Drosophila melanogaster: one gene and its partners. The gene in region 1 interacts genetically with each later gene. Each region holds a gene or a part of one and is shown in the gene's direction. Other genes may lie near its edges.

The links.
Region 2: of D (region 1) and vvl, changing one enhances a phenotype caused by changing the other (phenotypic enhancement), as found in Drosophila melanogaster (one study listed by BioGRID).
Region 3: of D (region 1) and ind, changing one enhances a phenotype caused by changing the other (phenotypic enhancement), as found in Drosophila melanogaster (one study listed by BioGRID).

What each region holds. Positions count from the first base shown.
Region 1 is NT_037436.4:14,177,021-14,180,777, reverse strand, and holds the start of D (dichaete), read left to right. Parts: upstream 1-2,157; 5' UTR 2,158-2,209; intron 2,210-2,285; 5' UTR 2,286-3,439; coding exon 3,440-3,757. UniProt on the Drosophila melanogaster protein: Essential for segmentation and CNS development. May modulate the actions of other transcription factors, including gap and pair-rule proteins.
Region 2 is NT_037436.4:6,788,138-6,791,894, forward strand, and holds the start of vvl (ventral veins lacking), read left to right. Parts: upstream 1-2,020; 5' UTR 2,021-2,688; coding exon 2,689-3,757. UniProt on the Drosophila melanogaster protein: Binds to a DNA sequence element required for the expression of the dopa decarboxylase gene (Ddc) in specific dopaminergic neurons. Could also play an early role in specific ectodermal cells, and a subsequent role in the embryonic nervous system.
Region 3 is NT_037436.4:15,042,164-15,045,845, reverse strand, and holds ind (intermediate neuroblasts defective), read left to right. Parts: upstream 1-1,921; 5' UTR 1,922-1,981; coding exon 1,982-2,944; 3' UTR 2,945-3,047; downstream 3,048-3,682. Other genes in the region: Rpn12R (regulatory particle non-ATPase 12-related), read left to right, coding at 3,342-3,682.

The sequences.
Region 1 (3,757 bases):
ATAATAATAACATTACTGTTCGTTCCCATTTCATAGATTTCTTTTCATTTTATGCAAGTTTTTCCACGAAAATGATTTCATTATCCCTAGCTGGACCTGCCATCCCCTAACTTTTCACATTCTATGAACATCAAACGATAAGTGCGCTATAATTTTTCATTTCTCCAAATCAAAGCGAAGCGAAGAAGGCACCAGAAATTCAAAGCAGAGAAAGGGAAATTCGTGAGCATGCCAAAAATGCTCTTAACTGGAATGACATGTGAAAAGCGCCAAAATCTGTGAGGCGATCAAATGGACACGTACGTCAGGAAGCAGGAAAAATCAAAAAAGAACTCTTGTGGGTGGAAAATGGAAATGCAAAATGAACAAAGGCCAATCCGAAAACGTGAGAAAATTCAGTCAAAACGATTCATTTTATAACTGCCGACGCCAGATGGTAGGCATAACTCCAAATGAGGGGGAAAAGAATATATAACTTGCAAAAATGATACGATATATATGCCATATCAATAATTGAACGATTCAATCAACTGAACAATAATGGGAATGTAACCTCATTTGCCTTTTATATTCGTTTTAATTTTTTCATTATCATTGAATCCATTCTGGACATTGTCAAGTCTTACATTTGCGCGATTGTTCCTGAATTTAATTAAAAAAGAATGAATGACAAAAATTATATTTGCGGAATACAACAAATAAAAATGAAACCAGCTCCCCAAATGACAATTGAATGAAAACAACAACAATCAACAATCGAAAACAACAACAATGCAGGAACGAACAATAAAACGCGAGTCTTTCTCTTTCACCGCGGAGAATCGGTGAATTTCGAATGGGTTAAGCGGTGAGGGTGATTTCTGGCGACAGGATAATGGTTAATATTGTATTCGAATAATAGTAATCACGGCACAACTTGACTCATCTCTCACCTGCCATTATGCGATCAAATTAAATTTACATTTATTTAATTTTCAACTGCACTCTGATACTGTATTTATACTGATAGATTTTTATCAGATAAATATCTGATAAATAAAATGTTTTTCAGTTTGCACGGCACCATAACAAAGAAAGAAAATCTATTATTAGCTTAAGTAATTATTAAATTAGACAGAAAACATATTTAGAGTTTATTTATCCAACTACGAGTATTAGAAGTTTATCATGAATTATTTTACAACTTCCACTAATTTGAACAATATTCTTAAGACAATTTTGATTGTCACTATTCCGCAAAAATGAAATTAAAAATGCATCAGCTAGCTTATTTATTTATTGAATTTGATAGCAAAACACATAAAGAGTATATGTGCTAATAATTTAAAACGTTTATCCTTATTTGTTTTACTCTTTACACTTATTTTAACTGGATTCTAAAAGAATATTTATTTATATAAAATAAGGAATTCATCATAAATTGTATCACAAATGTAACAATTATTTATGCCGCATGTGGGTGGGGAGCGATTTTAGGAAACAGGATCCTGCATTCATCCTACACTGTGTGCTATTATCACTCACTTAGTGTCCTCGTCTGCTAAGTGAAATGCTGAAAACTCAGAAAGAAAAATGTGACGCGGACAAAACTTTTTCCATTACACAACGTACAACAGTTTTTGCTTTCATTATTATTTGAGATTCGTTGTTGTTGCCGTTCTACGTTGTCCTTTCTTCCTTTTTTGGGGAAAGCAGACACAACGGAAACGTTGCGAACGCTGAAAGCTTTTTATGCTCTTACGCTATGGGCCAGGTATAAGAGCTTTGTAAATGCAATTGGAAATTGCACTAAGCTTTGGTGCATCGTTGTGTGGGTGCGTGCATGAGCAGGAGAAAGGCAAAGAGAAGGGTGGGATAAAAGCTCAAAGGGGAGAATGGTTTTACTTTTGGGGTTATGGAGTTTTAAAAAATATAATAGAATATTGCAACCTTATTCCTGAAAGAAACATTTTTATTAAAACAACGGCTCTTGGGGTCAAGATGTTGTTTAATGAAGCAATGTTAAACTCTTACAATCTTTGCATCACAAAAGCCATAAATTATGTCTTCGTTTCGAAAGAGAGGTAAATATGTGTGTTAACAAGAATTTGAAAACTTATTATTATTATTTGGGAAACTCTTTTAGTTACGAATGAAAAAAACATTAGTTTGCGGTAGATTTAATTGTCAATTATTCGATTGCCCTTGTCCTTTCAATCAACATTAAAAGGTTTGTTTTCTTTTGCTACTGCTTATTTGGTAAACCAAAAAGAAAAGCTGGCTAAAACATCTTTTCTATAATAAAGCACAGAGGACCGTTCTACATGCATCTGGGTGAAGATTTGCCTCACTTCCACTGGCTCCTTTGTGGGCTTCTTTCTATGGCCAAATAAGTAAATAATTGCAGTAATATCCTTTCTGGAGCGGCCAGGAAGAAGTGGCAAAAAGGGAACGGAAAAGAATGGAGAAGAATGGCGAGCGAAATGAAAGAATGCGAGAATGGAGAGCGGGGCAAGAGAATGGAAAGCGTGTTTCCATGTCCTTTTCACAAACTAAAAAGTCCTTTCACACACACACATAGTACTGACTACAGAGTACACATAGAGAACGGTATATAGCAGAACACAGACACCCACAATGGACAAAAATTCACACCAAAGACCCATTGTGATTGGCCCAACAAACACGCACACACATACGCGGGGAGAGAGTTGTGTTCTCTCCCTCTCTCGTTCTAACTGCATAGGAGATGCGGAAGTGCAACGCCGCCGTGCAAACAATAACGGAAATTGTGTGCCCACTGTGCGAAAATCAATGTGCTCCCGCGCTCGCCCTGGCTCTCTTTCTCTCTCTCGCTCCGTACTTTGAGCTCCCCCTGCCCCACAGGATTGGGGTCGCTAAATCGAATAACACGAAGCACAGCCGAACGAGAGCTGCCTGGCTTTTGGCTCTATTGAGCTCCTCTATTGAACACACCCCTCAATGGGCGAACAACTATAACCGATATAAAGGAGCCAATGGAACAAAGCCAGTGGAACAATGGGCCGCAAAACGAAAGAGAGAAGACGCTATGTGTGAGTGAGAGCGCGACGACGGCGCAGCTCTCTCCCAGGTAAGAAGCCCAGCCTCTATCCCGCTCGCACCCACGTGGCTTACGTAAAGGTAATGGTGCGAGGGTTGCTCGCACTTCGTGCTCAACTCTCTTCCGAGAGAAACGGGATTTGGCTGCAGTCGTGTAGGCCGCACTGGAACACTACTGAAATCAGTCACAAAAAAGCAGTCGATCCGAGCAGAAGCAAAGCAAGAGCAAAGCAGAAGCAAAAGCAAGACAGTAATTGACATAGAGACAAAGAAAAAATCTGAGAAATCACAGTTGAACCACAGACATATTGTGTTCTAGAAAGTGAAGTGTTGATCTTGAAAGAAGCAAAAGTTAAACAAAGTGTTCAAAATAGCTGGAATGGCCACCTTATCGACACACCCCAATTACGGTTTCCATTTGGGTCAGGCCCAAGGCTTGGAGGACTACGCACCGCAAAGTCAGCTCCAGCTGAGTCCCGGCATGGACATGGATATCAAGCGTGTGCTGCACTACTCCCAAAGCCTGGCAGCCATGGGCGGATCGCCCAATGGACCCGCCGGCCAGGGTGTGAACGGATCCTCGGGCATGGGTCACCACATGTCCAGTCACATGACCCCGCACCACATGCACCAGGCGGTCTCCGCCCAACAGACCTTGTCGCCCAACAGTTCCATCGGATCCGCCGGCAGTCTGGGT
Region 2 (3,757 bases), 7.4 Mb from region 1:
CCGCCACCTAATTATCATGTAAATTTTTGTCTAAGGACCAACAATGACTGTGACTTTATTTTGTCACTGGGGTTTTTGGGTTGGAAACGCTTGGCTTATTAATTATGCCCAAGTGCGTGGCCAAAGGATATGGTCATGGAAAAAAAAACGTAAACAAATTTCATGCAAATACGCTCGAACTTGTCTGGCTTGCGTCTGCTCGGCTGGATGACCTTAGTTTGCATAATTTTTTGATTGAGCTCTTGACCTGCCTCAAAGGGGTCTAAAACTATGCTAAGTATTTTGTGGTGGGTGTTTATGGGATTCTTGGGCTAGTTATGTGTGCCAGGATTTATTAAATGAGAAAATATATGAGAGGGTAGCTTTGAACATTTTATGCATTAATTAAATATATTTTTTAAGTGGGAAAATTCTGAATATATGTTGACATATTTAAGGGAAATAGTGGGAAAATAATAAGTAATTTTTTTTTTAGAAAGGTAAATTTGGTTAAATAAGCTATTTTATGTCTGCATATATACATTTGACGGCAATTGGCTTTGAAGGCGAAATAGATTTCCATTGATTGTGTGCAGAGTTTCATTCATTCATTGTTTTAGGAAACATAAACTTTTACGGATATTTTTCATTTGATTCTTCGCATTGTCCCATAACGCTCCGCTAAATCAAAAAACTTTAAAACTGCACAGCCAGAAACAAAAGTCAGTATTCCAATGATAACTTTAACGATGGCAATTCCTTTAGCTATGCAAATGTATCGCTAGTTTCGCATTAATTTCGCAAAACTGATCATAGAATCAATGAAACTGACGGATGAAGTGAATCAATATCTTTTGTCAGTGAAACATAATTTAACTGTAAAGCAGTCAAAACACAGTCACAAACACAATGAGCAAAAGAAAGATATCAAGGTGGAAAAGAAAGGTATATTTTATGTAGGCAGCCAAACGAAACTTATATGCATATGAAAAAGAAAATTATAAAATATTCATCGGTAAAATGGTTATTTTTTTAAACGAAAATTTTAAATATCATTTCATACTAAACACTAATTTACTTTCTTTAATTTAATTAAGCTTCACTCACACATATTATAAACTGAAAAAATACAAATAAGATTTTCTTATATAACACATTGGTTAAATATTTAATGGGACACGGTCTATATAAAAAATATTTTCAACAGAATTCAGCGAAATTTGAATTGTCCAAATTCAAGTTCAAGATTTATTTATTTTTCATATTGATAATCAAATATTATTTGCTCTTAAATATTTTTACTATGCACACTTTTTTGGATGAACGATAAATAGTTAAATATTTAAACTGTTTATTTGTTTAATTCCTTTTCTACGCCACGTTAGTAATATGTTCTTCAAATCGCAATGGCAACCACTCCAGATGTCCCCCCTCCCAAACAAACACACACACTCACAAAGCCAAGGGAAAAGTTGTCTGGCCAAGGAGCTGCAAGGAACTGAAACAAAGCTCCCCGAACGGGAGAGAGAAGTCCTGGACGCAAAAGCTCCAACTGGGAGATGGCACTACGTGTAATCCCTGTGTTCCCGATAGCTGGACTCGAAGAAATCGAGAGATGCGCCGTCGCCGTTCATATCATCTCTCGCCCTCTCTCGCTCGCACTGGGCACTGGGCAATTAAAAATGTCACTCTGCATGGGAATGCACTGAGGGAACTTCGTAGAGCCGGCTCTGGTATTATTTTTTCATCTCATATATTTTTTTTGTTTTTGTTGGTTTTGGGGGCGTAACGCTGGAATACAGCGAGCCCAATAGAGCGCAAGTCTCCCTTCCAGTTGCTCGGTAGAGCGTCTATCTCGCTTGCCGCACCAATGGCGGTGCTGCTCGCACACATGGAACGCTGGAAGGCCAGCGGACAAACTGGTTTCGCTCGCCGGGGTGTGTGTGCGTACTGCGCTCGTTGGTGTGCGTAAACGTATCGGTGTGACGTACCGCCGAGCGTCGAGAGCGCTCAACGTAGAGCTGCGGTGCGAGACATGACGTTAGTTCACTTCGATAGCTCTACGAGTCTGCACGTGAATTTTCCCTGGGCTCTCGGCTGTCTTGACTGCTCAAATCTCACAACACACAATCTCAAATCTCAATCGGCATCGAATCGGTCAAGCAACCCAGTAGAAACACACATTCGAGAAATCTCAATCTGTATCTGAATATCAGAGTTCTGCGTTCTGACCACTGAGTTCTATCGATGATTTAAATCGTTGCGAAAAATCGCCACAAAAAGTGCCAAGTGTTAGAAGTGCTAAATGAAATTCGAAAATAAAAAAATCTAAATAAATAACCAAATAAAACGCAGTTAGCTCAACGCTAGTCAAGCTAAATAAACGTGAAACCCCAAGCAAATTGCCGTCGGATTTTTTACTTAACCCAAAGCTGAAATAAACTTGTTGAACGCGTTCGAGGGCCACGCCCCCAAAAAAGCAAACGTCGAACCCAAAAAAAAACAAAATAAGCGAAATAGAATATTTTTGCGCCTGCCACGTTGCCCGTAAAAGACGTCAAGACGGTTGCCTCACGGTTCGAGTGGAATGAGCATAGGGACCCTGGTCTTCCTTTCGATCGATCGGTGTACAAAGTCGTTAAACTGAGCCCCAACTTGGAGCCCTACCCCGCCAGCGTGGAGGGCCTGAACAGCCCCAGAGCGGTGGGGATGGCCGCGACCTCGTACATGACGCCGCCGAGCGGTGATCTGGACATGGCCCTCGGAGGCGGTGGCTATCACACCTCGTCGCCGCGCTCGGCGGCTGATGCCGGTGAAATGAAGTACATGCAGCACCATCATCATCATCATGCCGCTGCCGCGGCAGCTGCCCACCATCAGTTGCCCTCGTCGCCATCGCCCAATGGCCAGGGCAATGGTGGCGGACTTGGATTGGGTTCCGGTTCCGGGTTGGGCTCATGGAGTGCCCTCCATCCGGATCCGTGGATGCAAACCCATCATACGCACCATCTGCCCGCCGCCGCTGCCGTTGCCTCGGCCGCTGATACCGTCAAGCAGGAGATGTCGCATCTCTCGCAGCAGACGCGCATCCAACAGGGCATGGCCTCGCCCCATGCCGCCTGGCATGCCCCCCATGCGGGACACTATGCGCCAACGGGCGGGTCACCGTTGCAGTACCATCATGCCATGAACGGAATGCTCCATCATCCGGCCCATGCGGTTGCAGCGGCCCATCATCAGAGTGTGGCGCCACTGCATCATACGCTGCGCGGGGAATCGCCACAGCTGCACATACACCATCACATGGGCGGCGGCGATCGGGATGCCATAAGCGGCGGCGAGGAGGACACTCCCACGTCCGATGATCTGGAGGCCTTTGCCAAGCAGTTCAAGCAGCGCCGAATCAAGCTGGGCTTTACCCAGGCCGATGTGGGCCTGGCACTGGGCACTCTCTATGGCAATGTGTTCTCCCAGACGACCATCTGCAGATTCGAGGCACTGCAGCTGAGCTTCAAGAACATGTGCAAGCTGAAGCCGCTGCTGCAGAAGTGGCTGGAGGAGGCGGACTCCACAACGGGTTCACCCACGTCCATTGACAAGATCGCCGCTCAGGGGCGTAAGCGCAAGAAACGCACCAGCATCGAGGTGAGCGTGAAGGGGGCACTGGAGCAGCACTTCCACAAGCAGCCGAAGCCATCCGCCCAGGAGATAACCTCGTTGGCCGACTCCTTGCAGCTGGAGAAGGAGGTGGTACGCGTGTGGTTCTGCAATCGGCGGC
Region 3 (3,682 bases), 870 kb from region 1:
AAGTGGCCAATGGAGAAAATCTCAAGTGGCCCAAACAATTGTTAAAAGGCGGTCAAAAGGAGCTCTCGCACGAGACCAACGCAACGCCCAAAGAGCAGAAATTCCAACAAAAATATTAACACAACAGCATCTGCTCCCGATTTCGCTATTGACCAGTGTCCAGATTCCTTTTTGTTTTTTTTTGCACAGCCCGCCAATTAAGCAGAAGCCAAATACTTAAAAACCTTAAAAAGTGGGCGAACATTCGGATCGCCTACGTAGAAGTCGGTCGACAATTAACAATTAACGTCAGCAATTGTGATCGGTTTTATAGCCACTTAACATACGATCAACTGGCAGAAGGGCGACAATGCCGCACCTCGGCACAATGCCATGAAAAGGACAATTATAGGTAAATCCCTAAAGTCAGTTAACAAATGATAAAACTGCCGCCATAATTCTGTGTAATGTAGCCCAAGAACAACATTTCGGCGACGTACTGTCTGGCTTAAATGTCCCGACCTGGCCCAAAATACACACAAACAAAGGCGCAACGTGCGTCGTGTCTTGGATTTGTCAAAGGACCAAACGACTGCATCCATGAATGGGATCGTCCTGAATGGATGATCCTTGCCGCATTGTTCGCCGTAGTTGCACAAGCAGAAGAATGCATCAATAAAATTACGCCAAGGCGAGGACTAGGACTCAAAGAAGAGATACATATACATATACCCAATGTGCTGGAGGGTCTGGTAAACGGGAGTTGTAGAAGTAAAGGTTCGATTCGAGATTTCGGCAGCCACCACTTCGGGCCATAAGTTGCCATGAAATTGGCATTAAACGGTTGGAGGGCTTGCAGTTTTCAATGGTTGTAAAATTAATCGATTCGATTGTGAAGGGTCACTGAAGAGGTTTTCTTGTAATGCAATAAATTACAAACAAGATACTGTGTAAATTTCGTTGGCTATTTAAAAGATCTTCCTATAAAAAGAATTACAATTGCGCTTGCTTGTAAGTAAAAACAGATGGTTATAATATTAATAATTTTTGCAAGAATGCTATGGATGCTATTTGTCTTTTTCTACACAACAAACACTTTAATATAATTTGATTTGTTTACCATAAAAATATAAATAATTCGTTAAAACCTAACAATGATGAAAAAAAGCCAATATGTAAAAGCCTGAAAATGAACGAACTGCTTATAAATACAATATCTGCTCATATGATAATATTGCTTATAATGACTTTTTTGATGCTTCTTCATAACTTAAAGTTTTATGAAGTTGCATTTGTTTATTTTTCAAACATAAGTTACTAGGCAAATTAAAAAAAAATATATATGCAAGCAATATATATGGATTTTCTAATAAAACTATTAATTAAAATTTGTATTTTTAATTAAATACATTTTTAACACTGTCTATAAAATAAGCTGCTTGATGATTTTATTGAAAGTTCGAAATACCAATAATGTAATTTGATCTAGCTTAGGCTGAACTAATTCAGTTCCGTTTAAAAAGCTTTTACGCACTCTCTTCAACTTTCAATTAAACTCGAGTGATAATACGAATTGGAAAGACTGATTCGTTCCACAGGGACACCAATACAGTCCCATCGCACACACCCAAGCCCACACACACACACATACATATGTATGGCAGGATGGCAAAGGAGGGTTCGCCATTGTCCTTTCGCACAGATACAGTGAATCATCGCTTACCTGCCATTTGCGGCATTGTGAGTGATCGAACAAGGGCGGAGCGTAAATGGCAACAGTTGTTGCTAAATGGTGACTAAATGGCCGAACACACTCGCTCAAACAACCCTCGAATTGGCCCTCAGGGGTGTGGAAGTGGCAAACCAACCCCCAGAACAGAGTCTCGAGGTATATAAGAACCGGGTGAGGGCGCAGCAGCCAGACAGTTTCGCACAGTCAGCGATCGTGTTCAGTAGCTCATCTCGAGATCAGTTGGAAAACGAAATACCCCAGAAACCCAAGATGTCGCGTTCATTTTTGATGGATTCCCTACTCAGCGATAGGCCCAATTTGAGCCAGAAGAAGGAGAAACTGGGATCGCCAGGAGGAAGTCCTACAGCCGCTGCTGCAGTGGCCGCAGCTGCCATGTTACCATCGATACCCATGCTTCCTTACCCGGCCAGCTATGTGGGCAGCTATCTCTTCTCCTTGGGCATCCAGCAGCAGCAGCAACAACAGCAGCAGCAGCAACAGCACGCAGCAGCTGCAGCAGCGGCCGCAGCAGCAGCAGCTGCCTTGCAGCAACATCCACATGTCAGTTCGAGTCCCGGTTCCCTTTACCATCCATACGCCCAGCTGTTCGCCAGCAAGAGGAAGTCCAGTGGATTCAGCAACTACGAAGGATGTTATCCATCGCCACCGCTCTCGGCCAATCCCAACTCCCAGCAATTGCCGCCAATACACAACCTCTACGGATCTCCAGTTGTGGGCGGATTACCCTTACCGGAACCTGGAAGCTTCTGCACATCACCGTCCGCTTCATCGTCCGCCTCTTTGGATTATACCAATAACTTTGATGAACCTCAAGGAAAGCGTTTCAAGCACGAGTCCTCCTGCTCTCCGAATAGCTCACCACTGAAGAACCACTCTTCGGGAGGTCCCGTCGAGATCACGCCGCTGATCAACGATTATGCCGATTCCAGCAAAAGGATCCGCACTGCCTTCACCAGCACCCAGTTGCTGGAGCTCGAGCGAGAATTCTCGCACAACGCCTACCTATCCCGCCTACGTCGCATCGAAATCGCCAATAGATTGCGCCTTTCCGAGAAGCAGGTGAAGATCTGGTTCCAGAATCGCCGAGTCAAGCAGAAAAAGGGCGGCTCCGAAAGTCCCACCTTCAATCTGTCCACCAACTCCAATGGAAGTCCGCAAGCATCTCCAGTGTCTCCCCAAGTCAAAGTCCACGAATTGAAGGTTGAGGCGTAGAATCAATCACCTATTAAACCATAAGAATAATGTAATTGTACAGTAGATTTTAGTCTGTTTTCAGTCATAAGTATGTTAAAGTAAATAAATTTTAATCAAAATGAAAAACGACGTTTTTGGGATAGATAAACCATAATAGAAAGCAATGATTTATTTATGCAAAGTGGGTTCACATCTAGCAGCTAAGTTGGCCCAAGATGGCTTTACTAAAAAATACTAAATAATTTTAAATTACGAACCAATTAAATGAATATAATAAATATATAGCAGCCCTGGAATATCCCTAAAAATACCAAACGCTAGTGTCGATATTTCGTTCCAAATTTGTGCTGTCAATCAAAACGAACAAAATTTTCATTCCCAAAAATTTAGTCGTTGTCGAGACTTTGCTGTAATCATGTCGAATCTGTACACCGAATTGAAGAACGAGTGGAGCAAACATGCGCCCAACCTCACCCACTGCTCCCGCCTCCTGGATGGCTTCAAACTGGAGCTGGTGAGGTCAAACTTTGGAACAATCCAAACTGCATCGAGTTCCAAGCAAAAGGATCAGCTAATCAAATCGCGGGAGATGCTGGAAATCGCCGTGGAACATAGCATCACCATCAAGGATTATGCTGCCTTCGAGAGATATATGGCCCAGTTAAATACCTACTACTATGATTACGATAAGTACTTGGAATCATCGAAGCACATGTACAAGTTCATGGGCCTAAATCTGCTCTATATGTTGGCTAC